Elephas maximus indicus: one gene and its partners. The protein of the gene in region 4 purifies or fractionates together with the protein of the main gene of each other region. This does not show direct contact. Links are inferred from orthologs where the notes say so. Each region holds a gene or a part of one and is shown on either strand. Other genes may lie near its edges. The genes, in order: CRCP, POLR3G, POLR3F and POLR3B.

What was found.
Region 1: the proteins of POLR3B (region 4) and CRCP purify together in Homo sapiens (affinity purification with mass spectrometry; 5 studies listed by BioGRID and IntAct, with this or other methods). This does not show direct contact. The link is inferred for Elephas maximus indicus from reciprocal best matches to the Homo sapiens genes POLR3B and CRCP.
Region 2: the proteins of POLR3B (region 4) and POLR3G fractionate together in Homo sapiens (co-fractionation; 4 studies listed by BioGRID and IntAct, with this or other methods). This does not show direct contact. The link is inferred for Elephas maximus indicus from reciprocal best matches to the Homo sapiens genes POLR3B and POLR3G.
Region 3: the proteins of POLR3B (region 4) and POLR3F fractionate together in Homo sapiens (co-fractionation; 4 studies listed by BioGRID and IntAct, with this or other methods). This does not show direct contact. The link is inferred for Elephas maximus indicus from reciprocal best matches to the Homo sapiens genes POLR3B and POLR3F.

Annotation. Positions count from the first base shown.
Region 1 is NC_064830.1:103,355,668-103,363,689, reverse strand, and holds the start of CRCP (DNA-directed RNA polymerase III subunit RPC9), read right to left. Parts: upstream 3,107-8,022; 5' UTR 2,997-3,106; coding exon 2,989-2,996; intron 1-2,988. UniProt on the Homo sapiens protein: DNA-dependent RNA polymerase catalyzes the transcription of DNA into RNA using the four ribonucleoside triphosphates as substrates.
Region 2 is NC_064820.1:97,121,458-97,129,416, reverse strand, and holds the start of POLR3G (DNA-directed RNA polymerase III subunit RPC7), read right to left. Parts: upstream 3,116-7,959; 5' UTR 2,962-3,115; intron 2,951-2,961; exon of another isoform or gene 2,287-2,950; 5' UTR 2,198-2,286; intron 1-2,197. Other genes in the region: acyl-coenzyme A thioesterase MBLAC2, read left to right, coding at 3,620-4,073. UniProt on the Homo sapiens protein: DNA-dependent RNA polymerase catalyzes the transcription of DNA into RNA using the four ribonucleoside triphosphates as substrates.
Region 3 is NC_064843.1:59,142,209-59,149,621, reverse strand, and holds the start of POLR3F (DNA-directed RNA polymerase III subunit RPC6), read right to left. Parts: upstream 3,075-7,413; 5' UTR 2,848-3,074; coding exon 2,786-2,847; exon of another isoform or gene 2,447-2,785; intron 1,806-2,446; coding exon 1,688-1,805; intron 1-1,687. Other genes in the region: DZANK1 (double zinc ribbon and ankyrin repeat-containing protein 1), read left to right, coding at 5,133-5,241, 7,354-7,413. UniProt on the Homo sapiens protein: DNA-dependent RNA polymerase catalyzes the transcription of DNA into RNA using the four ribonucleoside triphosphates as substrates.
Region 4 is NC_064822.1:173,470,218-173,477,689, reverse strand, and holds the start of POLR3B (DNA-directed RNA polymerase III subunit RPC2), read right to left. Parts: upstream 3,020-7,472; 5' UTR 2,835-3,019; coding exon 2,763-2,834; intron 1-2,762. UniProt on the Homo sapiens protein: Catalytic core component of RNA polymerase III (Pol III), a DNA-dependent RNA polymerase which synthesizes small non-coding RNAs using the four ribonucleoside triphosphates as substrates.

The DNA of each region.
Region 1 (8,022 bases), on a different chromosome or scaffold from region 4:
TGCAGGCACAGGCCTCTCCCTGGCTTTCAGCCCCTCAGCCTGGCCTCTGCCCTGCTTGGGCAAGTGTTACAAAGTTCTCTAGCTCCGCCAATAAGTTCCTAGAGACACCCTACTCTGCCCGGAAGCTTTGGTCTTAAGGTGCTCAGCTCACTGGCTCTGTGTCTGCACACCCGCCGCAAATGCCTTACTCCACGGGCCAAGAAGCTCACTGTGCCTTCTGGCGCCAGCCTCCTGGTTCTGCTGCCGCCATCTCTTGCCATCTCCAGTGTTGCAGCTCTCTGTCTCCTGGGTCTAGGAGGTTCTCAGTGCAGGGATCCCGAGTTCAAAGGATGAGTTCCATTCCTAGCTTTTCTTTCTTGGTAGTAGTGAGATTCCCTTTTCTGCCTCTGGGATAGCTCATTTTAAGCCTAATGGGATGGCAAAACTGACCAATCCCCTCATTAGGGTTCCATACACGTTATTTGCATGGCCCCATCCCCACAAGGGTGCCATGTACCTTATTTGCATTAGCTACAAGTTGCCCAATCCCCTTGGTGGGCCACAAGCACCTTATTTGCATAGCCCCACCCAATCATTGTGTGGGAATCACAAAGAGTATGCCTAAACGGACCATATTAAGTAGTTCACTGCACTGTAATCCTAATAAGGAATTTGGATTTCCTCTAAGTGCAATGGAAAGCAAATGAAGGGTTTTACAAAAGGGGTGATACAATCTAATACTTTAAGATCGTTCTTTCAAATGAAATGGAAGTGGACAAGAGGGGAAGCCAAATGCTGTTGCTTAATCCAGACAAGAGATGAAGGACTAGAAAATTAGCAGCAGAGATGGTGAAAAATAACTACATTCAAAACGTATTCTGAAGGTGGAGGTAACAGTCCATGATGGACTGGATTTAGGGGTGAAGGAAAAGGGGACTAGATTTTTGGTTTAAGCAATTGAATGGGTAATGGTCCTAATAACTGAGATACAGGTTAGGTTAGGTAAGGACCAGGAAGGGAGCATAAGTAGTTCTGTTTTAAAACTGCTAAGTGTGAGTTGCCTTTTAGACATCCAAGTGGAGGTGTCAAGCAAGTAGAAGAGAACAGGAGCCTAGAGCTCAAGAGAGAGAACAGAACTTAGAAACATAATTTTAAGAATAATCAGCATATAGGTGGGTAAGATGACCAAGGGAGAGTGTGAGAGAATGCATCCCAGGACTGAGCCCTGAAACTTCAACATTTAGGAACCAAACAAGGGAGAGGTGGCTCCAGGAAAGGACTGAGTAGTAGTCCTTGATGTAGGACGAAAACCAGGAGAGCATGCCATAAAGCCAATGAAGAGTTTCCAGAACAAATGAGTAGGTAAGTATAGCAATTGCTGCTGAGAGATCAAGAAAGGTGAAGCCAGAAAATCAACCTTTGGATTTGACAAGACAGAAGGAAGACTCAGGTCATCTTCACAAGAGTCACTTCTGCACACTGGAAAGGATGAAAGTCCAACTCAATGGCTTAGAGAGTGAGGATAAACAGCACTTCCAAGAAGTTCTGCTGTGCCAGGAAGCAGAAATGAGGCAGTAGGTGGAGACCTGAAAGTGGACTATTCCAAGGTATTTCAAGATGTATAAATTAAAACAGGTTTGTACGCTAACAGGAAATGCTCTAGCAAAAACGGAGAAATTGATGATGCCCGCTTGGACCAGAATAATACATAATTAGTGTTTTTCAAGGTGTAGATTGAACCCCATTGTGGGTTGTGAAATCAATACAGTAGGTCATGTGGACATCCTTTTTAATGAAACAGAACAGACAGTATCAGAGTGAACTGCATACAGTAAACATTGTTTCATGTAACTTTTGTTTCAATTACGCTTAGATGTGTTAAGGTTAAAAAAAAAAAAGGTCTGCACAGCATATAACCATTAAACATAAGATGAAAGAACACAAAATAAAATGTGTGTATTAAATAATCAGTGCTATACCAAAAACCCAAACGAAACCCACTGCCATCGAGTCAATTCCGACTCACAGCGACCCTACAGGACAGAGTAGAACTGCTCCATAGTTTGCAAGGAGTGCCTGGTGGATTGGAACTGCCGACCTCTTGGTTAGCAGCCGTAGCACTTAACCACTACGCCACCAGGGTTTCCATCAGTGCTACGGAGAACACAATATAGGTATGTCTTCAAGTTAACGTCAACCACGTAAAAACCCATCCGCGGGGTTGATACAAAAACTTCTATTTGCATGTAGTACAATGGGCAAATATGGAAAAAACAACGTCGAGTTAAATTGTTAGAAGAGCTTTTACTCTGTCCTGTAAACACGCAAGAAACCCTGGTGGCCTGGTGGTCAAGTGCTATGGCTATTAACGAAAAGGTCAGCAGTTCGAATCCACCAGGCGCTCGATGTAAACTCTTTGGGGCAGTTCTACCCTGTCCTATAGGGTCACTATGAGTCGGAATCCACTCAACAGCAATGGGTTTGTTTTTTTGTTTATTTTTTTTAATAAACACAACCCCACACAGGGCTGTTTCTCCAGTCGAGGCTCACGCTCTCCCTAACTGCTCGTCAAACTTGGATGGCACCTCTCCCGAGTTAGGAAGGCACAGGGGCCTCCTGCCCGCAGGAGCACTTCCATCCCAGCACTTCTCCGCCCCCCTCCTGGTACTCCCAGGGGTGTACTCCTCTCCGAGTCCCCGCTCGGATACCGGCCCGGGTTTCCCACTGTGACCCAGAAAACGCTTTTAAACGAACGGGGCAGAGAGAAGGCACAGAGGAAAAAGCAGCCGGGCCCAGGGGCGCTCGGCCCGGTGTCCCAGGTACAAAGGCTCGGACGGAAGCACGAGTCTCTCTCTTCTGCGCCCACCTGGACCCCACGGGCCCTCCCCGACTGCGGTTCCCCCATGCGACGGGTCGCCCCATCCTCCCGTCTCTCGGCTTTCAACGGTCCAGTCGCCCCTAGCTGTTAGCGCCGGCTCCAGACTCCAAAACGCGTCCCGGGTGGCTTACACTTCCATGTCGTCCCCGTCTCGTCGCCTCCGGCCGCCAGGTGACTAAAAACCTCAACCTGAGCCGCCACAACTCCAGCTCTCCACGCTGAGCACCCCCTGTCGCCGGTCTGCGTCGCGGTGCATGCTGGGATCGCCGCGCTGCACGCCGGGAGCCCTCAGGGGGCGGTGATGGGGCGGGGCTTCAGGGAGCAGGAAAGTATCTGTTTAATCAGCGTGTTGGGTACGCGAATGCGTTCAGTGTCTGAAAATTCAGGGAGTCGTAGACTTCTGTGCAGTTTTCTGTACGTGTGTTACAATTGAATAAAATGTTTTTTAAAAGTGGAAAAAAAAAATCCCAGCCCCCCCCCCCCCCAACCCGTTCCCATTTTTCCTTGAGGGTTTACTGGCAAGAGATATGAAGAGCCTTAAAGCCAGCCACAGTCTCTGACTGTGGGGCCTTTCTGGGAATTTCTCCAAAGGGAATTATCAGATGCTTGAAAGAGAGAGATGTATGTGTAGTGATGTTTTTGCTGGGAAATGACCGAAATGCCCAATAATGGGGAATCGATTGAATTATGTTACAGCCATACAATATATGCAGCCATGAAAAATCATGTAAAAGATGTGATATGCTAGGAAAATACTCAAAGTAGGATTGAAAAACATACAAAACAACGCGTGCTTCTAATTATCTACAGAAAAATAACCAACCAACGAAGCAGTTGCAGTCAATTTGATTCTGACTCGTGACGACCCCTGTGCCAGAGCAGAACTGTGCTCTACAGAGTTTTCAACGGCTGATTTTTCAGAAGTAGATTGCCAGGCCTATCTTCAGAGTGCCTCTATGCATAGGAAAAAAAAATGCCTAACGGTATGGGAGGTAGAGCTATCCGATTTATTACATTTTATGACTTTAAAAAAAATGGCGATTGTGGTGGATATCTATTATCATCTTCGTATGTTTGAAATATTTCTTTAAAAGACTGGAAGGAAATATCTGAAATATTAATGATGGCAGGTGCCTTCTGATGATGAGTCAATTGCTGATTTGTTCCTTTTTTATACTTTCACGTTTATTGATTCTCAAGCTCATTCTCTTTGCAAGGCCCTTGCTAAACAATTTGTTACTCCATGGAATTACCAGTTAACGGTGCGGGCTTTGCAGTCAGAGAGCCCGTGTTCCTGTTTACCCCCAGAACTTTCTTAGAGGATGTTTGACCTTGGGGACTTAACCTCTCCCAGCGTCAATGACCTAATCTGTAAATCATAAATCTGTTAGGTAATCCATATAAAGCTCAAGAAATTTTAAAAGTACACCCATGACACTCTACCCAACCCAGTTTCATTATTATTCACATTTTACAATTGAGGAAACTGAGGCAGAGGCTTGGAGAGATTACTATTTACCCAAGTTTCTCACCTCCAAACTTGTCCAGTAGGGATTCAAACCACACAATCTGAACAAATACAGGAGGCATATTAAATTGTTAATAGTGACTGGTGAATTGATAAAGTGTCCTATATTCATACAATAAAATAATACCATTTGGAATAAAGTACTTACTGACACATGGTATAACGTGAATGACCCTCAAAACCATTGTGCTAAGGGAAAGAAGTCATTGTATGATGTCATTTCTATGAAATGTCCAAAATAGTCAAATCTATAGAGACAGTGTTATGGATCGAATTGTGTCCCCCCAAAATGTGTGTCCACTTCCCAGTATTGTGTGATTGTCCAGCATTTTGTCATCTCATGTGATTTTCCTATGTGTTGTAAATCCTACCTCTATGATACTAATGAGGCAGGATTAGAGACAGTTATGTTAATGAGGCAGGACTCAATCTATAAGATTAGGTTGTATCTTGAGTCACTCTCTTTGAGATATAAGAGAGAGAAGAAAGCAGAAAGACAGAGGGACCTCATAGCATCAAGAAAGTAGTGCCAGGAGCAGAGCACATCCTTTGGATCCGGGGTTCCTGTGCCGAGAAGTTCTTAGACCAGGGAAGATTGATGACAAGGACTTTCCCCTAGAGTTGACAGAGCGCGAAAGCCTTTCCCTGGAGCTGGCACCATGAATTCAGACTTCTAGCCTCCTAAACTGTGAGAGAATAAATCTCTCTTTGTTAAAGATACTCACTCGTGGTATTTCTGTTATAGCAGCACTAGATAACCAAGAAAGATGGAAAGTAAATTAGGAGTTGCTTATGGCTGGGGGTGAGGAGGGGAATTAGACAGTGGCAGCTAATGGGCATGGGGTTTCTTTTAGGGGGTTGAAAATGTTTCAAAATTGAATTGTGGTGATGGCTACACAACTCAGTGAATATACTAAAAGCATTGAATTTTCCACTTTAAGTCGGTGAATTGTACGGTATGTGATGTGATACATCAACAGGGAACTGCCAGAAATTCAAGCCAGATTCAGAAGAGGACATGGAACCAGGGATATCATTGCCGATGTCAGATGGATCCTGGTTGAAAGCAGAGAACACCAGGAAGATGTTTACCCATGTTTTATTGACTATACAAAGGCATTCGACTGTGTGGATCTTAACAAACTATGGATAACATTGCGGAGAATGGGAATTCCAGAACACTTTATAGTGCCTATGAGGAATCAGTACATGGATCAAGAGGCAGTTGTTCAAAAAGAACAAGGAGATACTGCGTGGTTTAAAGTCAGGAAACGTATGCGTCAGGGTTGTATCCTTTCACCATCCTTATTCAATCTATACGCTAAGCAAATAATCTGAGAAGCTGGACTATATGAAGAATAACGGGGCATCAGGATTAGAGAAAGGCTCATTAACAACCTGCGATACGCAGATAATACAACCTTGCTTACTGAAAATGAAGAGGACTTGAAGCACTTACTGATGAAGATCAAAGACTACAGTCTTCAAGAAAATATTCTGCATTCCACTTTGGTAAGTAGTATCTGTGATCTTAAAACCTACCGAGTGCCCATCTAAGATGCGTCAATGGGTCCCAACCCACCTGGAGCAAAGGAGAGTGCATAACACCAAAGACACAAGGAAAATACTAGCCCAAGAGACAAAAAGGGCCACATAAACTACAGACTCCATCAGCCTGAGACCAGAAGAACTAGTTGGTGCCTGGCTACCACCAACGATGGCCCTGACAGGGAACACAACAGAGTCCCTAACGGAACAGGAGAAAAGTGGAGTGCAGAACTCAAATTCTAGTAAAAAGACCAGACTTAGTGGTCTGACTAAGCCTGGACGAACCCCAGAAGACATGGCCCCTGGATGCTTTGTCAATCCAGAACTAAAACCATTCCCAAAGCCAACTCTTCAGACAAAGATTCAATTGGACTATGAGACATGAAATGATACTCGTGAAGAGTGTGCTTCTTATTTCAAGTGGGTACATGAGACAAAATGGGCAGCTCCTTTCCGTAGGAGAGGTGAGAAGGCAGAAAGGGACAGGAGCTGGTTGAATGGACACGAGAATACAGGGTGGAAAAGAGGAGTGTCCTGTCACATTACAGGGAGAGCAACTAGGGTCAATAATAATGTGTATAAATTTTTGTATGAGAAACTAACTTGAGCTGAAAACTTTCACTTAAACTACAATTAAAAAAAAAAGAAAGACTACAGGCTTCAGTGTGGCTTACATCTCAACATAAAGAAGACAAAATCCTCACAACTGGACCAATAAGCAACATCATGATAAATGGAGAAAATACTGACGTTGTTGAGGATTTCATTTTACTTGGATCCACAATGAACAGCAGCCACCTTTCAGTTAGCAGCCAAGCACTTAACCACTGCGCCACCGGGGCTCCTTCCGTTAACGTTGTTGTTGTTAGGTGCCATCGAGTCGGTTCCGACTCATAGTGACCCTACGCACAACAGAACGAAACACTGCCCAGTCCTGAGCCATCCTTACAATCATTGTTATGCTTGAGCTCATTGTTCCAGCCACTGTGTCAAAACACCTCGTTAAGGGGTCTTCCTCTTTTCCGCTGACACTGTACTCTGCCAAGCATGATGTCCTTCTCCAGGGACTGATCCCTCCTGACTACATCTCCAAAGTATGTAAGACACAGTCTCGCCATCCTTGCCTCTAAGGAGCATTCTGGCTGCACTTCTTCCAAGACAGATTTGTTCATTCTTTGGGCAGTCCATGGCATATTCAATATTCTTCTCCAACACCACAATTCAAAAGCGTCAACTCTTCTTCTGTGTTCCTTATTCATTGTCCAGCTTTCACATGCATATGATGTGATTGAAAATACCATGGCTTGGGACAGGCGCACCTTAGTCTTCAGGGTGACATCTTTGCTCTTCAACACTTTAAAGAGGTCCTTTGCAGCAGATTTGCCCAATGCAACGCGTCTTTTGATTTCTTGACTGCTGCTTCCATGGCTGTTGATTGTGGATCCAAGTAAAACGAAATACTTGACAACTTCAATCTTTTGTCCGTTTATCATGATGTTGCTCATTGATCCAGTCGCGAGGATTTTTGTTTTCTTTATGTTGAGGTGTAATCCACACGGAAGGCTGTGGTCTTTGATCTTCATTACTAAGTGCTTCAGGTACTCTTCACTTTCAGCAAGCAAGGTTGTGTCATCTGCATAACGAAGGTTGTTAAGGAGTCTTCCTCCAATCTTGATGCCCCGTTCTTCTTCATATAGTCGAGCTTCTCGTATTATTTGCTCAGCATACAGATTGAATAGGTATGGTGAAAGAATACAACCCTGACGCACACCTTTCCTGACTTTAAACCACTCAGTATCCCCTTGTTCTGTCCGAACAACTGCCTCTTGATCTATGTAAAGTTTCCTCATGAGCACAATTAAGTGTTCTGGAATTCCCATTCTTCGCAGTGTTATCCATAGTTTGTTATGATCCACACAGTCAAATGCCTTTGCATAGTCAATAAAACACAGGTAAACATCCTTCTGGTATTCTCTGCTTTCAGCCAGGATCCATCTGACATCAGCAATGATATCCCTGGTTCCATGTCCTCTTCTGAAACTGGCCTGAGTTTCTGGCAGTTCCCTGTCGATATACTGCTGCAGCCAGT
Region 2 (7,959 bases), on a different chromosome or scaffold from region 4:
ATTCATCTTTTTATACCCTATCACTACCCAGAGCCTGGCAAAAGTACAATAAAATATTGGGTGAATTAGTGCTGAGCACATGGTCTAATAAGGATATCACTCCATTTCACTTCCTAGAGGAAAAATATCCAAACTATAGTAAGCACTGTATTTCCCTGCCAAGAATATCCTAACACATAACTGTCTTTTAAGGCAGCTTCTCAACAATGTCATTCCTCAACAATCCCTTCCATCTGTACTCTTATAGCACCTCAATTTTACTTCCTCTGTAGTACATATAGGAAACTCTGGTGGTGTAGTGGTTAAGAGCTACGGCTGCTAACCAAATGGTCAGCAGTTCGAATTCACCTGGAGCTCCTTGGAAACCCTATGTGGCAGTTCTACTCTGTCCTTTAGGGTTGCTATGAATCAGAATTGACTTGACGGCAACAGGGTTAGGTTTGTGGTACATATAAGGAGCCCTGGGGGCGCTGTGGTTAAGCGCTCCACTGCTAACCAAATGATCAGCAGTTCAAACCCACCAGCATCTCCATGAGAGAAACGTGTTAATCTCTTCCGTAAAACTTACGGCCTACGTTAAGACAACACACAATACAGGAGAGGTCAGCACAATTGGACTAAACCAAAAACAAATAAGTTTCCTAATAAACTGAATGCTTCGAAGGCCAGTGTAGCAGGGGCAGGGGTTTGGGGACCATGGTTTCAGGGGACATCTAAGTCAATTGGCATAATAAAATCTATTAAGAAAACACTCGGTATCCCACTTTGGAGAGTGGTGTCTGGGGTCTTAAAAGCTAGCAAGCGGCCATCTAAGATGCATCAATTGTTCTCAACCCACCTGGATCAAAGGAGAATGAAGAACGCCAAAGACACAAGGTAATTATGAGCCCAAGAGACAGAAAGGGCCACATAAACCAGAGACTACATCAGCCTCAGACCAGAAGAACTAGATGGTGCCTGGCTACAACCGATGACTGCCCTGACAGGGAACACAACAGTCAATCCCTGAGGGAGCAGGAGAGCAGTGGGATGCAGACCTCAAATACTCATAAAAACACCAGGCTTAATGGTCCATCTGAGACTAGAAGGACCCCAGAGGTCATGGTCCCCAGACCTTCTGTTAGCCCAAGACAGGAACCATTCCCAAAGCCAACTCTTCAGATAGGGATTGGACTGGACTGTGGAACAGAAAATGATACTGGTGAAGAGTGAGCTTCTTGGCTCAAGTAGACTCATGAGACTATGTGGGCAGCTCCTGTCTGGAAAAGAGTTGAGAGGGCACGGGGGGTCAGAATCTGGCCAAATGGACACGAAAATAGAGACTAGAGGGAAGGACTGTGCTGTCTCATTAGAGGGAGAGCAACTAGGACGGCAGTGGTATATAAATTTTTGTATGAGAGACTGGCTTGGTTTGTAAACTTCCACTTAAAGCACATTAAAAATTAAAAAAAAAAAAAAAATCACAGCCTAGAAACACTGTGGGGCAGTTCTACCCTGTACTAAGGTCTCTATGAGTCAGAATTGACTCCATGGCAATGGGTTTGGGTTTTTTTGTGGTAAATATCACACACTGCATTGTATTGCAAATATTTGTATATTGATATCATCATCCCTCAAATTCTTAAGTACCCAGATCATATCTTTCTTACACAATTCTGTTCTTCACACAGAATCTAGCTCAGGGACTTACACATAAGAATGCCCCCAAAGGGGCTGGATGAACCCCTAAAACTACTGTCCTGAGATAATTTTAAAACTTAAACCAAAAATATCCCCTGAAATCTTCGTAAAACCAAACAATAGTTTACCTTAGTCAAAAATGTCTGCCTTGAGCATTATGCTCTTTTAAGATCTATACCGGATCAAAGCAACAACAACGTTAGAGGGCAGTTAGTTTATGTTAATGGAGGAGGAACAACTCAGAAAAGGACGGTTAGAATGGTTGCACAACTTGAAGAATGTAATAATGTCACTTAATTGTACATGTAGAAACGGGTGAATGGGTGTATGTTTTACTCTCTTCACAACAACAAAATGAATGCCCCCAAAGGAGCGACTGGATAAATCTCTAACTTGATTAACAAAATCTTCATAAAGGCCACATCCCACCAAGCACCTTCACAAGGTAAGCAAGAGAGTAAACCTCTCTTTCCATGAGGCTTATTAGTACAGTTGCCAAAAAGGTTTTCATAATTACCTTTTATAATGCTGTCTCATGGGTCCCTTAATACTTTTTTCTGCTGCCGAATGGGGAGGTCAGTCAAGTTCTCACGGGAATTTTGAAGCCTAAACGAACGTTTAATAGCTGGAGGAGGACGGGGTGCAGGGGGTGGGGAGGTATAGGATAGGGATCAGGCATGAACAGTGGAGGTGATTTGTGTGGCTCGCAGGCCACACCCTGTTAATAGATGCTTTTTCCTTCCTCACAAGCTGCCTCCACCTTTCCTTAATCGAACCTTTATACTAACTTTCTCTGCTCTCTTCCAAGTGCCGATAAACTAGCCAAAAAATAAAATAAAAGGAGGGAGAGAAAAAATATAGAATTTCGTTTTTTAGAAAAGAAAAACCTTATTATGAGTCCCACGATACGGGGTAAAGTATCAACAGTTAAAACACTGTCCTCAGCTGTAAGTCTGCGGCAATGACTAGTGCCTAAAAAAATTATATGCCAAATCCCAGGATCTGGTACATCTCCTCCCACTAATAAAAACAAATTCCCTTCTAACTCACTGCAAACAGTCCCAGGAAATGCAGGCCAGGTAAGATATGGAAACGACGATTTCATGTGATTTTTAGGGGAGTAGGAAAAGGACAGGTAAAGCTATCTCCCAATGCGCCTCAAAGCAAGGGCTCTTTAAAGAATCTGTACTCCTGACTACCCCCATCCACTCCACGTGCCCCTTTAACTCCCCACTATGGTCCTCACGCTCGCCCAAAGGCCCCGATTGCTTGCTTCGTTACCTGGTCACTAAGGCTCGTGGCTTTGGCAAAACTATGCAGCAGAAGTGCCGGCCGGCAAAGAAAGGGTGCGAGCAGAGGGCGCCGAACCTTCGGGCCGCTGGTACCACTTTAGCAAAAGCGCGCTCCGCCCTCCACGCGGCCCCGGAACCGCGTTAGGATTCCAACCAACTAGCCCCGCCCACCCCTTAGCTAAGCCCCACCCCCTGAGCCAAGAGTTTTTTAGCCCTTGGCAGGCGCCGTAGTCGCCGTCTAACCGGTTGGCCTGACTCCGTGCCGCATGAGAGTGAGCATTGAGACGCGTTGGGGGTGGACAGGCCTGGTGCAGCCTCCCACAGCTCAGTCTCTGCAGTCAGACCCCCCGGGGTGGGGAAAGTATCTCTTGTGCAGTGGCTCCCGTGCTGCGGTTGCACAGGCTACTACTGCTCCTGCGCCCGAGTGCGGCTAGTGCTGCCCCCGCGCTCTGCTGACCTGGCGGGAGGGGCCCCACCTCCTCCTACCTCTCCCCCTGCACCTCCCTGCATCCTCCGCCCCTCGCTCTGCGCCTGCTCCCAGGCTGCGGGCAGACAGCGCCACAACCGCCGCAGAGTCGCGGGTCTGGCCACAGTGCAGGAGGTACACACGCCCACACCTACCTCGCCCGGCCGCACCCCTGCCCAGGATGTCGGCGCTCGAGTGGTATGCCCACAAGTCCCTGGGCGACGGTATCTTCTGGATTCAGGAACGCTTCTACGAGTCGGGCAACCGGGCCAACATCTGGCTAGTGCGCGGCTCGGAGCAGGACGTGGTGATCGACACCGGCTTGGGGCTGCGCAGTCTTCCTGAATACCTGTATTCCTCCGGCCTCCTGCAGGACCGCGGGGCCAAGGACGAAGCAGAACGCCGGCCTCTGCTAGCGGTGGCCACACACGTGCACTTCGACCACTCCGGCGGCCTCTACCAGTTTGACCGGGTAGCTGTGCACCACGCTGAGGCCGAGGCTCTGGCTCGCGGGGACAACTTTGAAACGGTGACATGGCTGTCCGACAGCGAAGTGGTGCGAGCGCCCAGCCCTGGCTGGAGGGCCAGGCAGTTCCGAGTGCAGGCGGTGCAGCCCACCCTCATCCTGCAGGATGGTAATGAGTCCCCCCATGGGCGCGCGCTGTCTAATTGAGAGAGGGGATGTCCGAGGGATGCATGTTGCAGACCTGCATGGCTGTAATGGGGGCTCGTTTTAGCACACCACAGAAACGCCATTTCTGTTTTAGCTTTCCCCGAGTAAATGCCCACCTTTCCAGAGCCACGGCAATCACAGTCTTCCCTACCTGAGACCAGCTTTGGCCCCTTGAAGCGGTTCCTAGAAGGGCGGTGAAAACCGATCCCACCCCCTAGTCAGTTTCTTGTGTCATGAATAGTGGTAAGACTACGGGGACTTGTGACTGAGGCTTTCCCATTCCTTTTCCAGGCACCTTTCTGACATTTCTGGGTGTTTTTGTAGCTAGAAGACTTCCAACGAATGACACCTCACAAAGTGCGTGTCATGCTCTATGCTTTTGAGAAACGCTGACTTTATCTGTTCGGTCACCACCTAGTACGAGCAATTTCCACCTGTAGGCTTAGAAAGCTGTCAGAGTGCAGAGGTTCCAATCTGATCATGCAACCCTACCTTCCAGATTTCTAATCTTGCTGTTGCCTCACTAGAGAAAAAGCTTGATTGTAAACATAAGGGTAGAATATGCTTTGAGTCTTGTGTTAAGATAGATATCTGTTGTGGTCGAAAGCAAAATTCGAGAAGGATTAATAAGGAGATTGCTTCTGGTGGTGGTGGAGTATGTAGCCTAATGCATAGATAGTCCTAGTTCTCTTTGGCTCTGTGAAGGACGGAATAGGATTCAGAGAAAAACTCATGGAATAAAACACAGTAAGGCCCCAACCTGTTCCCACCCTCAGGAATTAAATACTTGAGGTAATTGGCCACAGGAGCAATATCTGGCATATTAATTTCCTTTTTTATTTTTAAATACTTTTTTTTTAATCTCATTTTATCCTTAACATATTCGAAGTGAAAAACACTGGCATCCAATAAAATGACTTGCCTAAGATCCACAAAACAAAATAGTGACAAAAGCTAGGATTTGAACCAAGGTACAATAGATGAAAGCGTGCAGAACATACATAAATCCTACCACAGAAATATTATAATTCTGAGTAGGATGCGAAACCTTTTCTTTTCACTTTGACACCATCGTTACTAATGAGTCGAAATAAACTTGACAGTAGCAGGTTTGGTGTTTTGGTGTGTGAGGTAGAAAAAATCCAGCTGCTGAAGTACAGTAAGGTACTAAAGCTCATTTTATGACCAAACAATATCACAAAAAATGAAATAACACAAAAACCAGTTTATCTTATGGACAGGGTTTTGATCATCTCAGATGCTAAAAAAATAGAAAGGAAAATTAACATCTCATTCCCCCACTAAAAAGTTTTTTCATCGAAGAACTGATTTAGATGGGGGAATCTTATGTTACCTGACATTATGAGGCACAGGAGAAATACATTTACATTAAATTTACTTTTGGTTCTTGTATTTCTCGATATAATTAATACTTTCAGAGGTAAGATTTCGGCACAGTTGATGGGTATGCAGACTCAGTTCTGGCACTCACAACAAAAAATATTTACATTAGTATTAAAATATATTTGAATTGTTCTGAAGATTACTTTTGATCCTATGCCAGCAATGGGAAATCAAGGATAAAAAAATGATAGGGATTATTGTTTTATAGATGAAGAAAATCTGTTGCCATCCAGATGGTTCTGAGTCATAGCAACCCTCTAGGACAGAATAGAGCTGCCCCATGTGGTTTCCAAGCAGCGGCTAGCAGATTCAAACTGTTGACCTTTTAGTTAGCAGCTGAGCTCTTAACCACTGTGCCACCAGGGCCCCTATAGAGGAAGAGAGAGTTTAAAACAGGCCTGACTATTGTGCCTGAGATCACATAGCCAGTTTGGGAAAGAGTTGGAACTAGAACCTAGTTCCCATTAGAACCTAAAATCCCAGTACGTGGTATAATCAGTGTTTTGGAGGTGTAAAGAGACTGCAAGCTACTTGTGTGACACTTTAAGCCTTTTTAAAGTGTGAAAGAAAGCTTAATATTTACCGAACGCTTTCAAGACGATAATACTGTGTTATCAAAAGTTGTTTTTCTTTGGGAGTCAGAAGCCTCACTCTCTGACACACTCCTCCCCCATTGCCATTGAGTTGATTCTGACTCATAGTGACCCTACAGGACAGAGTAGAATTGTCCCATAGAGTTTCCAAGGAGTGCCTGGTGGATTCGAACTGCTGACCTTTTGGTTAGCAGCCGTAGCCCTTAACCATTATGCCACCAGGGTTTCCTCACCCTCTCAAGCAGTACCTGATTTCCTCTCTTCTTAGGATATTACTTTCCTGTATCTTCTAAATGATGTGGTCTGCTAACTTGTTATTAACAGACTCCACATGCCTAGAAGGAGATATAAAACATTTATATTAAAAGTTCATACACAGTTACATACTCGTACTCAAAGAGCTCTTAAGATAAGGTCTTCATTGCTTTGGTTAGAATACAAGGAGATGGAATTCATTTTTTTTTTTCCTTAATTACTTTTCATTTAGTGCACTGTTTGTCGTGGGGAATGATAAATCTGTATTCTGTATCACTGATCCAAAAGTTGTCTCGTAAACGAGGTAGCTACAAGGAGTACGAGGGAGAAAATAGCCATATCACTAAAGTCGTTATTTTTGTCAGAAAAACAACTCACCTTGTTAGTAGTTGTCTTAGTCAACTAGTGCTGCCATAACAGAAATACCACAAGTGGATGGCTTTAACAAAGAGAAATTTATTTCCTCACAGTAAAGTAGGCTAAAAGTCTAAATTCAAGGCGTTAGCTCCAGGGGAAGGCATCCTTTCCCTGTCAGCTCTGAAAGAAGGTCCTTGTCCTCAATTTTCCCATGGTCGAGGAACTTCTCAGGCGCAGGTACCCCGGGTCCCAAATGATGTGCTTTGCTCCTGGTGCTACTTTCTTGATGGTATGAGGTCCCCAACTCTCTGCTTGCTCTCTTTCCTTTTATCTCTTAGACATAAAAGGTGGTACAGCCCACACCCCAGGGAAACTCCCTTTATATTGGATCAGGGAAGTGACCTGAGTAAGAGTGGTGTTACAATCCCACCCTAATCCTCTTAACATAAAATTACAGTTGCAAAATGGAGGACAGCTACATGATACTGGGAATCATGGCCTAACCAAGTTGATACACACGTTTTTGGGTGGACGTAATTAAATCCATGACAGTAGTGAACTAGTATCTTCCTAAAAAAAATAGCAATATACCTTAGACTTATACGGCACACTCTTGAATGAGCACACATCATTTTACCTATTTTTTACAATATTAAAGTGACATGAAGAGTCTAGGCGTTTTTGTCTGTTTCATGTGCCTATGCAATTTACCCAGAGTCACCAAGACACTGTCTAGACCAACATTAGAATAATTGTAAATATTCTGTGTGTTAGAGAGTGGTTCTCGGTAGATTTAAATCACTTGTTGTTAGCAGCCATTTAGTTGGCCCCAACTCACGGTGACCCCATGTGCAATGGAACTAAACACTGCCTGGTCCTACGTCATTTCCATAATTGGTTGTGGATCAAACCAGTGTAATCCATGGGGTTTTCATTGGTGATTTTGGAAGGTTAAAAACAAAAAATACAGATTCCAGAATGCACATCTAATTTGGCTCCCTCCCACATCCCACCAACCATTAATAAAGGAACTGTGTTTTGTTTACTTGGCTTGTTTTAAGTATAAATCCACACTGACCGAGAGAACTATTTTGGATGCTAGAAAGCAGATGTGAGTTAGCAGTTTTATCGAGGAGAAATCAAAAGCCAGTCCAAAAAGGCCCCAAAAAATCAGGAAGTTGCAGTACCAGGTAGCTGAGTTGAGGCAAAGGGAAGGACACTAAAATAAGTAGAATTGGT
Region 3 (7,413 bases), on a different chromosome or scaffold from region 4:
GAAGATGGCGAGAAGTGGTGGCAGAGAAACGGCAGCAGCAGAAGGCCAGCAAGAGAAGGCATGGTGGGCTTCCTAGCTCATGGAGCAAGAAAGCTGAGTGCCTCTGGGTACTTAGTGAAGCTAGTGATTTTGGACCGAGGCTTACTGGTAGAGTGCGGTGCCTTTGTGCACTTATCTGCAGAGCTAAAAGAGCTTTGTAACATTTGCCTGAGCAGAACAGAGGCCGAGGGGCCAGAGAGAGGCGTGCCTGTGGGCATGGCTAAGAAAACGTTGTCCTGATGAAAGAACTGTATTCTGAGCATTCCTGAACCTGAATTGTAACCTGTTACTTCCTTAATAAACCCCATAATTTTGAGTATTATCTGTGAGTTCTGTGGGCCACCGCAATGAATTGTTGAACTCAGCAGAGAAGTAAAAAGTGCTGTGGGAGGGACAGTTGGTATCACAATTGGCAAAGATGGCAGAGACAGAAGACATGTCTGACCTCTGCCTCATAAGAATCAGCCTTGGGCTCAACACCTTGATTCTCCTTCCCCCTTGTGAAATTAGAGGAGGTTGTGGCAGTGGGAAATGTTCTTTTTGTCCTTTGATCACCCTCTCAGCTCTTTCCTTCCTGAGAATGATCCTTAGCACCTTCCTGTCTTTCGCCATCTCTGCAGCCCCCATCCACTGCCACAACCTCCCAGAAGCTCTCCCTCTACCTTTCCTGGAGCTGAAGACCTTCATGGAGAATTGACTAAAAATACCAACATTCCTCTTCCCTTGGGCTAGAACTTGTAATTACAGTTTAACTGGGATACTGCCATATGCATTTGTTTATGATTTATCCATGGCTACTTGCTAAAACCATAGAATCAGTAGTTGTGACAGAAACCACACGGCCCACAGAGTTTAAAATATTTACTGTCTGGCACTTTACAGAAAAAGTTTGTCCACCCTTGAAGTAGAAGGTTGAAGGGACTGATTTAACAGAAGGCTCACCTGTCTCCATATCCACAGTCCTTAAAAATCCAATAAAAATGCTCGCAGGAAATGGGAGTTTTGATGATAGAAAAATGGGAGAAGAAACAGGTAGACTTAGAGCACTGGGTACTAGTAGGTGGGGTGATTCTGGACAGTTGGAGGAGAGCAGCATTAGGGTCCCAGGTTCTTAAGGAGGACAGAAAAAGAGGTAAGGGCAGGGAGAAGGGCTTTACTGAAACAACCCTCTGCTACCTCACTGGAGCCTGAGGCAGCACTTCTTTCCAAAGGCTCAAGACTACTGAGATGCAACTGGGCTCATTTCTGTTTCCTGAAATGCCCAGGGTAAGATTGATACCCTGATGAACTGGCTCTGTGAAAGCTGGAAGGAAGGGCCCAACAATAGGAGTAAGAAGCAGACAGAAGGTGAGCACAGACTATTATGCTTTCACGTCCTTATGTACCTTAGTGACGATTAGATTAAAAAATACAATAGTTAAAAAAAAAATAACAAAGTACTACTTATTTTCATTCCTCTTGTAACCCCTCCCCAAAAAATAACCTATAATTTCTTCTTCCCTCACTTTAGGTAGCCTGTGCTGTTTTACGGTTTGTAGTTGTATCAGTTACAACCGAACACACCTTCTGATTTTATGGCTACATAACAGGAAGTATTGACAACCATGACAGGTAAGTAATTACATGCATGAGTTTGAATTCATCTTACCATGGACAACAGTCTATTGATGGCCACTGCCCGCTGCTGGGCTTCTATATGAGGCATTTCATTCTGAATTACTTGGTCTGTGATTCCATGAGGGAACTGGTGACATAACTCTATAATCCTAGGAACAAAGGCGTTAATGATATTATGCATGTTTGCCTGTTTCAAGAGGCAGGAGGGGAAATACAAGCAGGATGGTTTGAAATTGTCCTTTTTTTTTTCCCACTTTTGGCAGATAATCTGTTTCTATAATGATTCCAAATCAAATCATGTAAGAAATTCAGACACATGCTTTCTAAATACACATTTACATTATTGTTGTTGTTTAAGGGGAGTACTTCTTTCCCTCACTTATTTCAACTTTAAAATAGAATGAAAGTTAAATGAAAACACGGGGGGAAAAAAAAGCTGAGGCTTCAATTTTCTCAGATGGAATAACTGTGACAAAATTAAGTTGTAGTGCATTCGATAGCCATAAGCCTGTAAAGAGAAGGCAACTCCAGACACTTGTGGTGGGAAGCCAAAACTTGTTATGGCATCGTACCATAACTGTGAACTATTTGGGGGATTATCCTTACCAAACAAACGTAAACCCAAATCTTAACTTCATCACAGGCTCATCACATCTGTGTTATATATAACCGTTTGGGAAAGTTGAGGGTCTTATGAAACTATAAAATCTAAAAACAGCAGTGCGCTGCCAGAGAATGTAAAACTAGGACAGACTTTAGGTGTCCTGAGATCTTAAGTTCAATAACGCACCGAAGTAATCACAAAGTGCAGCCCTCGCTGCGCTCGAACGTTCTGCTCCGGGAGTTCCCTTAGTGACAAGACAGATCCTGGATCGGTGCACGTATCCCCAAGCATTACAGCCGAACCCAGAGGGTGTCCTTTCTGGCACTGATCACCGTAACGTAGGAAGGAAGGCATCATCCCAACTTCGCAAACAGCATCAGGGCAAAGTCAGCTACACAGAGTTGCAAGCTGTCAAGCTCGTTTTGAACTTAAGAGTTCTGGTATCCGGGGCGGGAGGGGAGGGTCCAGACCCCCGCAAGCCCCTTCACGTGTGCTCATGGATCCCGGAACCTAGACTTGCTTTACCTGTTTTCTATTTCGACCGGATCCGCGTCGGGCGGCTGCACCTTCACCTTCACCTCAGCCATGAGGGAGCAGATCCGGGCCCGTGCGGGGAAGACGAGCACTGAGTCGCCGAAGAAAACGCCCACGAACCCGGGGACCGACGGTGGACAGCTCCCCGCCGGGGGACAAGGGGCCTTCTTCCTCGTGTCGCAGCCAGTCCTTGCTCGTCGGTCGGCTTTAGGCGGCCAAGTCACGCCTGCGCCGCCTCGCTCGCCGGCGCCTCTACGTTTGTTACGCTCTGCTTGCTTTACCGAATGGTCATGCCTGTCGGACGAACGAGACTGGTTCCTCCATTCTACGTGGCGACATCAGCTTTTAGCACTTTCCAGCCTCCGTGAAGGCATATACCCGGACGCCTAAGTAAAGCCCCGGCAAAGGCGCGGGAGGGGCGCACCCCGTGGAGGCCCCGCTGCGGGGGCGGAGCTGGTTACTAGGGAGCGAGCTTTCCGCCAATCACCTGCCTCGCTCTCAGTGGGCGGGGCGCGGCTTGCGGCGTCGGTGGTAACCCGGGTCGCCGCCGCGGAGCGGGAGCGAGGAGGTGAGAGAGCAGAGACGGGCTGGGGGCGGTGGAGGTCCCTCGGTGGGGCCCGAACGGGGGCTGGGTGGCCCGAGGAGGAGGAGGAGCAGGAGGACCTTCCTCACTCCCGCCGAAAGGATGCGGGCGTCCTCGGCTGCAGCTGACGGACGGGGGCGGGGACCTTGCAGGGTACTGGATCCGGGCGGCGAGGGAGTTGGGTGTTGGGTGCTGTTGACTCAGCGCTGCTGTTTGGGTTTCGCTGGTCGGCGTCCTTTTGGGTCTCTTTCACGTGGGGCCTGCTGGGCGCCCCAGCCTCCCAAGGGCAGCTGCTGTGGCGGCACGCGAATGACTTCCTCTCGAACTAGTTGTATTTTGAACTGATTTCTCAACTATTTTTATTTTAACTGCATCTTACTTGAATGGAAATATGGTGATGGGCAAGCCCCGCAAGCCCTGCAGCACTTCTGTAGGGACTATTACTCTGCTGTCAATATCTGCGGTTTAAATTCTTGGCCTCCAACCTGGAGCATTAAGTTCACCCTTAAATTTATTTATCCCACTTTTGGTAATAGAGCCTGTGTCAAAACTTGGGCTACAAAGATATTCAGAGCAGCTTCCGCAACCACCAGAAGTAAAAAGCAACTAAAAATAGCCTAAATGCCTAACCACAAATTGATAAATAAGTTTACATAAGGACACAGAAAACTGAATAATCAACTGAGGGTGCAAGAAGTGGGCTGTAAAAATTGAATGAATATATAGATTATAATCGAATATATAAATTATAATCAAGTAATCTGGATGTAGCCACAATCATTGAATTTTCAGAAGGCATTGCATAGCTGTAGATGGTTGCTGTGATATGGAGATTGGTTTTATCTTCTGAAACCTCATTTTTTAAAAATTATGACACTTTCCCCTAGGAAAAAGATCAGTAAGGCTTCCATATTTGTAGCTAGTACAATAGACGGAATGGAAGATTGTGTTTGTTGGTAACCGTTAATATCCATGCCAAGTTCCTTTCAGCTTATACTCTACAGTCCTTCTAAAGTTTCCTTACAGCTTTGAAGTGCAAGAACCACTGTGGTGACAACTGTAGCGCTAAAGACCTGGCTTTTCCCAAGGAGTTGGTTCTAAATTAACATTTCGTGCTACATACAGATTTAATTTCTGTTCCTCTGCTGTGATGACTCGTCCCAAAGCTGAGAGAGGTTGTACACTTACAGGAGGCTGGAACAGGTGATGATGATCAAGTGGGAACTCAGGGCAGATCATTAGTGATGGTCTCTGTTCTGCCTGATTCCTTTAATTTGCGCATCCCTCGGTCCTGTTGATTCGTGTTCTTTTCCCAGAAGTGAGGTGAGTGTTCAGATAATCAAAGCTCCACACAAGACTTCAACAGCAAAAATACAGCTGAAGCGTAATAACTACTTCAATTGAAAATTGACTAATATTTGTAGGAGAGACATGGTTAAATCCCTCAGCTGCTAACTGAAGACTGGTGGTTCGACAAAGAAGGGCCTGGTGGTCTACTTCTGAAAACTCTGTAGAGCACAGTTCTACCCTGACACACACTGGGTCCCCATGGTTTGGAATTGACCTGATGGCAACTGGTTCAATATTTGTATTAACAGTAGTCTCTGTTTCTCTCTCTCTCTCTCTCTTTTTTTTTTTTGTTACTAGTTATGCTGCACTCTAAATGAAGTGCTTTTCTTCCACTTTTTTGTTCAAATATAGATACACGTTGGAATTTACTTTTATCCACTTTCTTTTTTTAAAGTAAGGAAAAAAATGACTGCTGGTTCAGTGTGTGTCCCTCAGATCATACCACTGCGAGTGCCTCCGCCCGGAAAAGCCAAACATGAAATTGATAACAATACACTTTTGGAAATGAAATCGGGTAGGAATCAAATGTATTTGAAATCATTTAAAATAACATTGTCATACTCTTTACACTTACCTGGTTCTTCACTTACTTCTTTGCATGCTCTCTATAGTCAGTACCTTGGGAAATTTGTAAATCTTCCAAAATTTGGAACAGTGTGATATTTTGATAGCTAATAGAGTCATGTATACTTAGATTAAAATAGTTGGCTTTGACCAACCTTTCTTTGGGGTAAGTACATGTTGCAGCTATGCCTCAGCTTACCTCAGCTAAGGTAAGATGTCCCAGTCGAACCCCAAACTTTCCCAGGATGCCCATTATTTTGCTAGAATAATAAATTTGACCTGCTTGCAATTTAGACATGTTGGGGACTGACCCCTGGCATGACAGTTTCTAATGACCTTAGACACATTACTTAGCCATTCTCAGTCTCAGCTTCTTCCCTGTAAGATATGGATAATGACATCTACCAGTTAGAGCTGCTGTGAAGATTAAATGAGTTGAAATATACGTGAGATGCACAAGGCCTGGCACGTAGTGATGCCAAAATAAATCTTAAATATTATTATAGAAATAAAGTGGCAAATATATTTCCTGGTAATATTTAGTCTTCAGGCTCTTTCTGCACACGCACACACAAACAATTAACATAAGGAAAAGGGAAAGTTTTATAGATAAAACGTGGACGAATGCCCTTATTAAAAAGTCTTCGAAATTCCAACTGTATATTTTAATAGCTGAAACATATAAAAACTTTTTATCTGTATTTATGTTATAAGCCCTGTGCTTCCTAGACCTAGAGTTGCAGTTAACAATATGCTACATTATACTATGTCCGGCTTTATTTCAAAGGCTAATGTGATTTTTTAAAATTCTCAAGCAAAAATAAAACTTCAATATATATGCATGTAAGTCTTAGGAGAAGTGGAGTGGTTGTTGATAAATGATGATAAGAATGATAAGGTATCCAAATGTTCTAATATTGAAAAGTTCTAATAAACAAAACATTTCCACAATTCAATAACAAAAAGAAGAATAACCCAATAGGAAAATGGGCAAAGGATGTGAAAAGACATTTTATAGGAAAGAACATATAGGTGCCTCTTAAGCATATGAAAAGATACTTCTACACATCTCTTCACCTGCTTTCTGAGTAGACCTTGTCCCCCTTACCTTCCTTCATAGCATTTATTCACCGCCTGACAGTATGCATTGTTTGTTGGTTTATTGTTTGTGTGTCTCTCCTAGAACGGTGCCTGGCACATACTAGGTACTCAGCAAATATTTGTTGAATGAATGAATGAATCTTACTCAATATACGAGAATTGTGAGTTAAAACTACAAGATACTACTTTTTGTTGTTTGCCTAGGAGATTGGTAAAAAGAAAAATCGATAACACTATTTGGGTGGACTGTGGGTAAGCAGGCACTTCCATGCATTTCCCGTGGGAATGTAATTGTTTCCTCCTCAGTGGAGGGCAGTTTGGTGATATTAATCAAAGTTGCAAATGCACATATCTTTGGACCCTGCAGTACTACTTCCGCATATTTGTTTTACAGCTGTGCTTACAAAAGGAGCTCTTTACAAGGATATTCGTTATAATTCTTGTAATGGCCAGAAGAAAGAAAAGAAAAAGAAAGCCTAAATGAGGGTTGATTAATTTATAGTTCTTTCATACAAGAGAATATGGTGCAGCCATACAAAAGCATGAGGAGGCCCTTTATGTGCCCATATAGAACAATATCCAAGGTATAATCTAAAATGAAAAATGAAGTGTGTGGAACAGGATGTGGTGTGCCACAATTGGTGTAAAAAGAGAGTGAGAAGTAAGAATATGTACATATATACTGATGCGCACTTGGGGATACTCAAGATATCATTTGAATCATATGAATTTATTATCTTTAAAATTTTTCCCCAAAAAATGTAGGAATCATTTACCAAGTCCAAATAAAACATAACAAAGTACAATGCATGGAATAGAGGAAGAATTTAATTATTGTTACTCATTTTTATAATATAAATAATAGATGTATAAATTTTCCATAAATAACTGACGTATAGGCATACCTCAGGGACTGGCTACTTTTGAACCAATTACAGTTATCCTGTTTTATATTTTTCAGACACCCCAGATGTCAACATATATTATACCCTGGATGGCAGCAAACCTGAATTTCTAAAGA
Region 4 (7,472 bases):
ATTCCAAGGAAAGGTAATCCAACTGAATGCAGAAATTATCAAACAATATCATTAATATCACACACAGGTAAAATTTGCTGAAGATCATCAAAAGCAGTTGCAGCAGTACACCAACAGGGAACTGCCAGAAATTCAGGTCAGATTCAGAAGAGGATGTGAAACAAGGGGTATCATTGCTTATGTTAGATGGATCATGGTTGAAAGCAGAGAATACCAGAAAGATGTTTTCCTGAGTATGCAAAGGCACTCAACTGTGTGGATCAGAACAAATTATGAACAACATTTCGAAGAATAGGAATTCCTGAACACTTAATTGTGCTCATGATGAACACGTACTTAGACGAAGAGGCAGTCGTTCAAACAGAACAAGGAGATACCGATTGGTTTAAAGTCAGGAAAGTTGTGTGTCAGGGTTGTATCCTTTCACCATACTTATTCAATCTGTATGCTGAGCAAATAACCCAAGATATTGACGGCATCAGGATTGGAGGAAGATTCATTAACCACCTGTGTTATGCAGATGACACAACCTTGCTTGCTCAAAGTGAAGAGGACTTAACGCACTTACTGATGAGGATCAGACTATAGCCTTCACCATGGATTACACCTCAACATAAAGAAAATGAAAACCCTCACAATTGGACCAATAAGCAACATCATGATAAACAGAAAATACTGAAGTAGTTAAGGATTTCATTTTACTTAGATCCACAATCAACGCCCATGGATGCAGCAGTCAAGTAATCAAAGGACACATTGCATCGGGCAAATACACTGCAAGAGACCTGTTGAAAGTGTTAAAAAGCAAAGATGCCACTTTAAGGACTAAGGTGCGCCTGACCCAAGCCACAGTGTTTTCGATCACCTCACATGCATGTGAAGCTGGACAATGAATAAAAAAGATCAAAGAATCGCTGCCTTTCAATTGCGGTGTTGGGGAAGAATATCAAATATACCATGGACTGCCAAAAGAATGAACAAATCTGTCTTGGAAGAAGTACAGCCAGAATGCTCATTAGAAGCGAGGATGGCAAGACTTCACCTCACATACTTTGGACATGTTGTCAGGATGGACCAGACTCTGGAGAAAGACACCGTGCTTGGTAGAATAGAGGGTCAACAAAAAAGTGGAAGACCCTCAATGAGATGGACTGACACAGTTACTGTAACAATGGGCTCAAGCATAATGATGATCACGAAGACGGTACAGAGCTGGGCAGTGTTTCGTTCTGTTATACACAGGGTCGCTGAGTCAGAACTGATCGACAGCACCTAACAACAACAGGCCTCCTTCTTCAGCTATCTGGTGAAGTCATCCAGTCAGTAGTTAAGGAGGAAGACTCTGGAGTCAGACTTCCTGAGTCCAAATTCTGGATCAATCACCTACCAGATTCTGACACTAGGCTAGTTACTTAACTTTTCTGGGCCTCAAAACCTCATTGGCAAGATCGGGGTGAAAACTACTTATTTCCAAGGATTAAACAGCATAATACATGTTATGCTTAAACAATGCCTAGCACATAGTAAGTGCTCAGTAAATGCTATTAATACTAACTCTTCAAGAGTTAAAATCCAGCATTGCCTGGTGATCAGCAGTGTAAGGCGGGCATTCATAGACTGAATTTGATTGACTTCACAGAGTTGCCAAATGATTACAAGGAGGTTCTTACAATCTAATACATTAGTTGTTCATTTCACTCTCCTACTTAAACTCTTCAATCGCATCTCACTGCCCCCAGGAGAATGTTCAAGCTCCTTCATATGTTTAACAAAGGCTTTCATAATGGCGCTCATTACCTACCCATCTTTCATTTCTTTAAAAAAAAAAAGTTGTCAGTCAATTCCGACTTATAGCAACCCTATAAGACAGAACGGAACTGCCCCACGGGGTTTCCAAGGCTGAAATCTTTAAGGAGGGCAGACAGCTATATCTTTCTCCCAGTGGGTTCGAACTGCCAACCTTTCAGTTAGCAGCCGAGCGTTTAACCACTGCTCCACCAGCGCATCTCTGCTCCTGTCTTTTTCTTCATAAACATCGGATGGTCTTGCCTACAAGGGTTCAAGTATTCTCTCTACCTGAAATCTCTCCCCTATCTTCTCCAGCCTCATTTCTCCACCTTCCCATTCCATACCAACCAGATATAATACGCGCCTTTCCAGATAATAAAACTATTTCAGTAGCTGAACTTCACTAGGCAGCTCACTGCAGGCCGGTTACCCTCAACTTCTGAGAATCTGATCAAAGTTACGGAGCTTCTCCCCAGAAAAACAAACGCACACATAGGCAAAAATCTGGATTAATTTTCGGGGCGTTTAAAATATCTCAGTAGCCCACATTTGAACTCCTGGCTAAAAGGAAAGATCCCCAGCCCGAGACTGACAGGATTTGGTTTTACTGCTACAACGAGCTCGGAACCTAAGCTCCTCGGGGCCCTGGCTCCTTCTCCATGAGGCTGGGGAGGTGTAATACGTCCCCCCGCGTGGGTGCAAAGGCCAATCCTCCCAGACACACGAACAGTGCCCGGGAAGGGGTCCACCTCAGGGCCCCCGCGAGCCTTCCCAGGCCCCACAGCGGCGGACGACTCGTCCCGGCTCAGCCCTTCCACGTGCACGCGGCGGCCGCGACGCGAAAGAACCCGGACGCGCGGACCCGTGAGCATGCGCAGTAGCCGCTGGTGGCCCTCTGCGGCGAGAGCTCTCGGGGCAACGCCCCCTGAGGACGCGTCCCGGTCCCTTCCGCTCCCCGCGTGCCCGGGGCTCACCTCCACCGTCGGGATCGGAGCTGCTAGCTGCTCCGGGGTCAGGTTCCCAAACTCCTCCGCTAGCACGTCCATCCTGCCCACTCTGCTCACGATGAAGGAAGCAGCAGACAGAACCCTCACGCCCGGCTTCGCTGCCCCAAGCAAATTGCAGCATCCGTGGAGAGCTGTGCGCGGAGACCTAAATCATCCCGCCGGGCAGGTTTATCAGGCACACAACGGAAAGGTTCCGTCTGCTGCCTGCCCGAACCTCTGCGGAAACCCGGATGTGGCTGAGGCGGAGCCGGAGAACTGCGCCCTCTGGTGTAGCTCGGAGGTCTTGCCGGGGTAATCCCAACCCCCTGCCAAAGAATTCATACCAAAACCAGCCCAAACCCTTTGCGACTCACAGCGACCCTATAGGACAGAGTAGATCTGCCCCATACGGTTTCCAAGGAGCCCCTGGCGGATTCGAACTGCGGACCTTTTGGTTAGCAGAAATAGCTCTTAACCAGTATGCTACCAGGTTTTCCAAAGAGCTCATAGCCAATTAAAATAATTGAAGCCAGTAAGACGTGTTGGTTGTAATTTTTAAAATAATTCCAGGAAAATTGTGAACGGATAATTTGCGCATCTTAGGCCAACGAGGCAGAAAATGTATTTAATTCAATCTGAAACTGTATACATTTTATGAAAAAATAGGAAACTTCCCAAACGCCTCATAAGGGATTAAAGTATGGCACGTGCATGTAATTTATTATATAACCACCGAAATGACCTTGAAGGGAGGAGGAATGAACACACTAGAGAGTAACACCACAGTGATAAGTATTCTCAAAGGACTAGACAGAAGACCCAGCAATAAATACAGTATGAAAAAAATGGCTTATTCAATAAATGATGTTGGAACAAATGATTATCCTTTAGGGAAAAAAAATACGTCTAAGTAAATCCTACTGGATTAAGTATTTAAATGTTAGCAAAACTTTAGAAGAAAATACAGGTGAATATATTCATACCATTGAGGTGGTGAACAGGTGCTGACAAGGTGGCAACACAATCAGAAATCATGAACGAAAATCATGGTAGAGTTTAGCATAAGAGATCATTCTAAACATGATTTTTTAATTTCATGAAAAATTTAAAATTGTCTGTACAAATGTTTAAAAAATCATCATGAATACAGATTTTTAAAAACAAGTTGGCAGAAGACAAAAATTGGTATTCCTAATTTACAATGTTGTCGGTGTTAGGTGCTGTGGAATCAATTTCCACTCATAGCGACACCACGTGACAAAGTAGAACTGCTCCTTAAAGTTTTCTCAGTTGTACTTTACAGAGGCAAATCACTAGGTCTTTCTCCTGCGAAGCCAGAGCTGTTGGATGGGTTCAAATTGCCAACCTTTTGGATAGCAGCCAAGTGCTTAACTGCTGTGTCCTTTAATTTACACTTGGCTCATACAAATCAATAGGGGGAAAAAAATCACAGGGGAAAAACTAGGCAAAAGATACTAACAAGCAAATGGCTAATATGAAAATATATTCAACCTCATAATGCAAATGGAAACAAAATAAATCATTTTTCATCCACCAAATTGGTACAGATAAGATTTACATTATCAAGTGTTATCCAGAAAGTAGACTAACAGGCTCTCTCTTACATTGCTGGAGGGAGAGTATGTTGTTACTGTAATGCTACAATCTTTCTAGAGGTATATATGTATTTTTTCCTTTGACCCAGCAATTCCACTTACAGGTATTTATTCTAAGGAGATTACTGAAAATCTGTACAAACATGTATGTACAAGATCGTCCAACTGAAGCATTTTTTATAAAAGCAGAATACAAGAAACAACCTAGATGTCAGCTGAGTAGCTGATATGATGATGCATTGATACACTGCAATGATAAACATCCATTGAAGTAATTGCAGAAATCTCTGTTTTTGACATAGATGGCCACACCTGTTGATAAGTGAGAATGGAGAAAAAACATGTTACATGAATAATGTCCCACCTATGTACATTACATGCATTCGTCAGTGCAGAGGGTTAAAGGGAATGATTGTAACTGGTTATCCCTGGTTGGTGTGATTTGCTATTCTTTACCGTTTCCAGTATTGTTTAAATGTTTTACAGAAAATGTGTAATTTTTATCATTGAAATAAAGCTATTTTCCTTTTTGTGGGGGGAAATCAGCAACCACTGCCGTTTAAAAAAAAAGATGCAAAAAATTTTAATACATGGAAAAATTATCAATAGAATGGCAAGTGAAAAATACAGTAAAAATTATAGATGTACATGATGAACTCAAGTTAGTAATTTTATAATATGGATGTTCAACACGTATTTATTGATTTCTACTAAGTTCAAGGCACTTTGATAGGAACAGAAAAAAAATATTGGGAGTAAACACATCAAAATATTAATACAGGTTATCTATCACTGGCAGCTTCAGGGCTGATTCTATTTATTATTTTCTTTTTTGCATTTTTGTATATTGTCAACATTTTATATATATTTTTTTAATCAGGAAAAAAAAATTAGAGGATATAAAAAATATACCTGGCTAAAAAAATCCAGGTAACTCATACTGAAGTATGTAATTTTGATCAAAACTAAATATATAGTCTAATAATGTGCATTTTTTTCTTCTTGAAACACACGTTATTTGTACAAAACCGGTTCTGCCTGAATAAATCTTAAGGGCATTTCAACCAGTCATTTATCCACAAACATGTGGGAAGACAAAAATAAATTTAATGTAACGTGACGTCTGGTAGTATACATATAGCGGATAATCTCGAAGCTCAAACCCCAGTGTGCCAAACAGAGGTACAACTTTATTTTTCTACAGCTGACCCTAATTTCTACTTTCAGCCCTCCTCCCCCTGAGTAGGCAGAAACACGATCTCCTCTAATTTGGGGTCCCATCTAAGTTCCAGCGGGTTTTCATAGGATGAGGGCATGAGGAAGGGCAGGTCTATTTTCTTTCACGTCATCTATAATGATGGCATCTGCTGAGGTGCCGGTCATCAGTGCTCAGTCATCACTCTACACGTTGCCTTCTGTCATTTCCACACCACACTTGCGTGCTTAGCAAGACCTCAGCCCTGACTAAAGCCAACCCTGTGCCTGCTCCACGTCTGCACCTATGCAAGTGAATGAGGAGGGAGCAATGCAACCATGTTGAACTGGTTTCACTTTAAATTCATGCCAACTAATTTCATGTAGGAGTCCCTGGCTGGTACAATCAGTTTGACTACTAACCAAAAGGTTGGAGGTTCGAGTCCACCCTGAGGTGCTTTGGAAGAAAAGCCTGGCAATCCGTTTCGGAAAAATCAGCCAATGAAAACCCTATGGAGCACAGTTCTACTACGACACACAGAGGGTCCCCATGAGGCAGAATCAACTCTATGGCAACTGGTTAATGGTTAACATCATGTAGACCCCTAATGCTGCTGTACAGTCACATAGTCTCTCTAGTCCATTCTCCACTTCACCTAGACTTGCCTTAAACCTTCCCTGTCCTCCCTCTCAAGGACCCTGCTGGCACAGTGGTTAAGAGCTCAGCTGGTAACTAAAAGGTGGGTGGTTTGATCCATAGGAGAAAGCTGTGGCAGTCTGCTTCCATAAAGATTTGTTGTTGTTGTTAGGTGTCATTGAGTCAGTTCCAACTCATAGTGACCCCATGTACAATAGAACAAAATACTGCCCAGCCCTGTGCCATCCTCACAATCGTTGTTATGCTTGAGCCCATTGTTGCAACCACTATGTCAGTCCATCTCGTTGAGGGTTTTCCTCTTTTTCACTGGCACTCTACCAATTACGATGTCCTTCTCTAGGGACTGGCCCTTCCTGATAACATGTTCAAAGTATGTGAGAAAAAGTCTTGCTATCCTTGCTTCCAAAAAACATTCTGGCTGTACTTCTCCCAAGACAGATTTGCTCATTCTTCTTGTAGTCTATGGTATATTCAACATTCTCTGCCAACACAATAATTCGAAACCATCAATTCTTCAGTCTTCCTTATTCACTGTCCAGCTTTCTCATGCATATGAGGCAATTGAAAATATCACGGCTTGGGTCAGGTGCGCTTTAGTCCTCAAAGTGATATCTTTGCTTTTCAACACTTTTAAGAAGTCTTTTGTAGATTTGTCCAATGCAATGTGTCATCTGATTTCTTGAGTGCTGCTTCCACGGGCGTAGATTGTGGATCCAAGTAAAATGAAATCTGTAAAGATTCCAGCCTTGGAAACCCCATGGGGGCAGTTCTACTTTGTCCTGTCAAATCAACTCAATGGCAATGGGTTTGGTTTTTTATGCTCCCTCTTTTACTTCACTAAGAAAATAGAAGGAATTAGAAGAGAACTTCTGAAAATGCCTTCCAAAAGTGACCCACCTAAAAGTGTGTATCCGCGTGCTCTTCCTTCCTTCCTGTTACTGCGGTGAACTGTCTGTGCCCTTGTCCCCCCAGCTCCGTGATCCCTTCTGTCCCACTCAATCACCCCCTCCAGCCTGTCTCTCACCTTCCTGCAACAACCAATTTTCCTTCTATACTTGATATTTCCCAAACCATGCAAGCATGTTGATATTTCTCCCATTTTAAAAAACAATTACCTTGATGCTGTTTCTCCCTTCAACTACTGTTCAATTTCTATCTTCTCCTTTATAGCAAGACTCATTGGAAGGGTCATTTGAGCTTCTAGTTTCCAGTTTCTCTTCTCCCACTCTC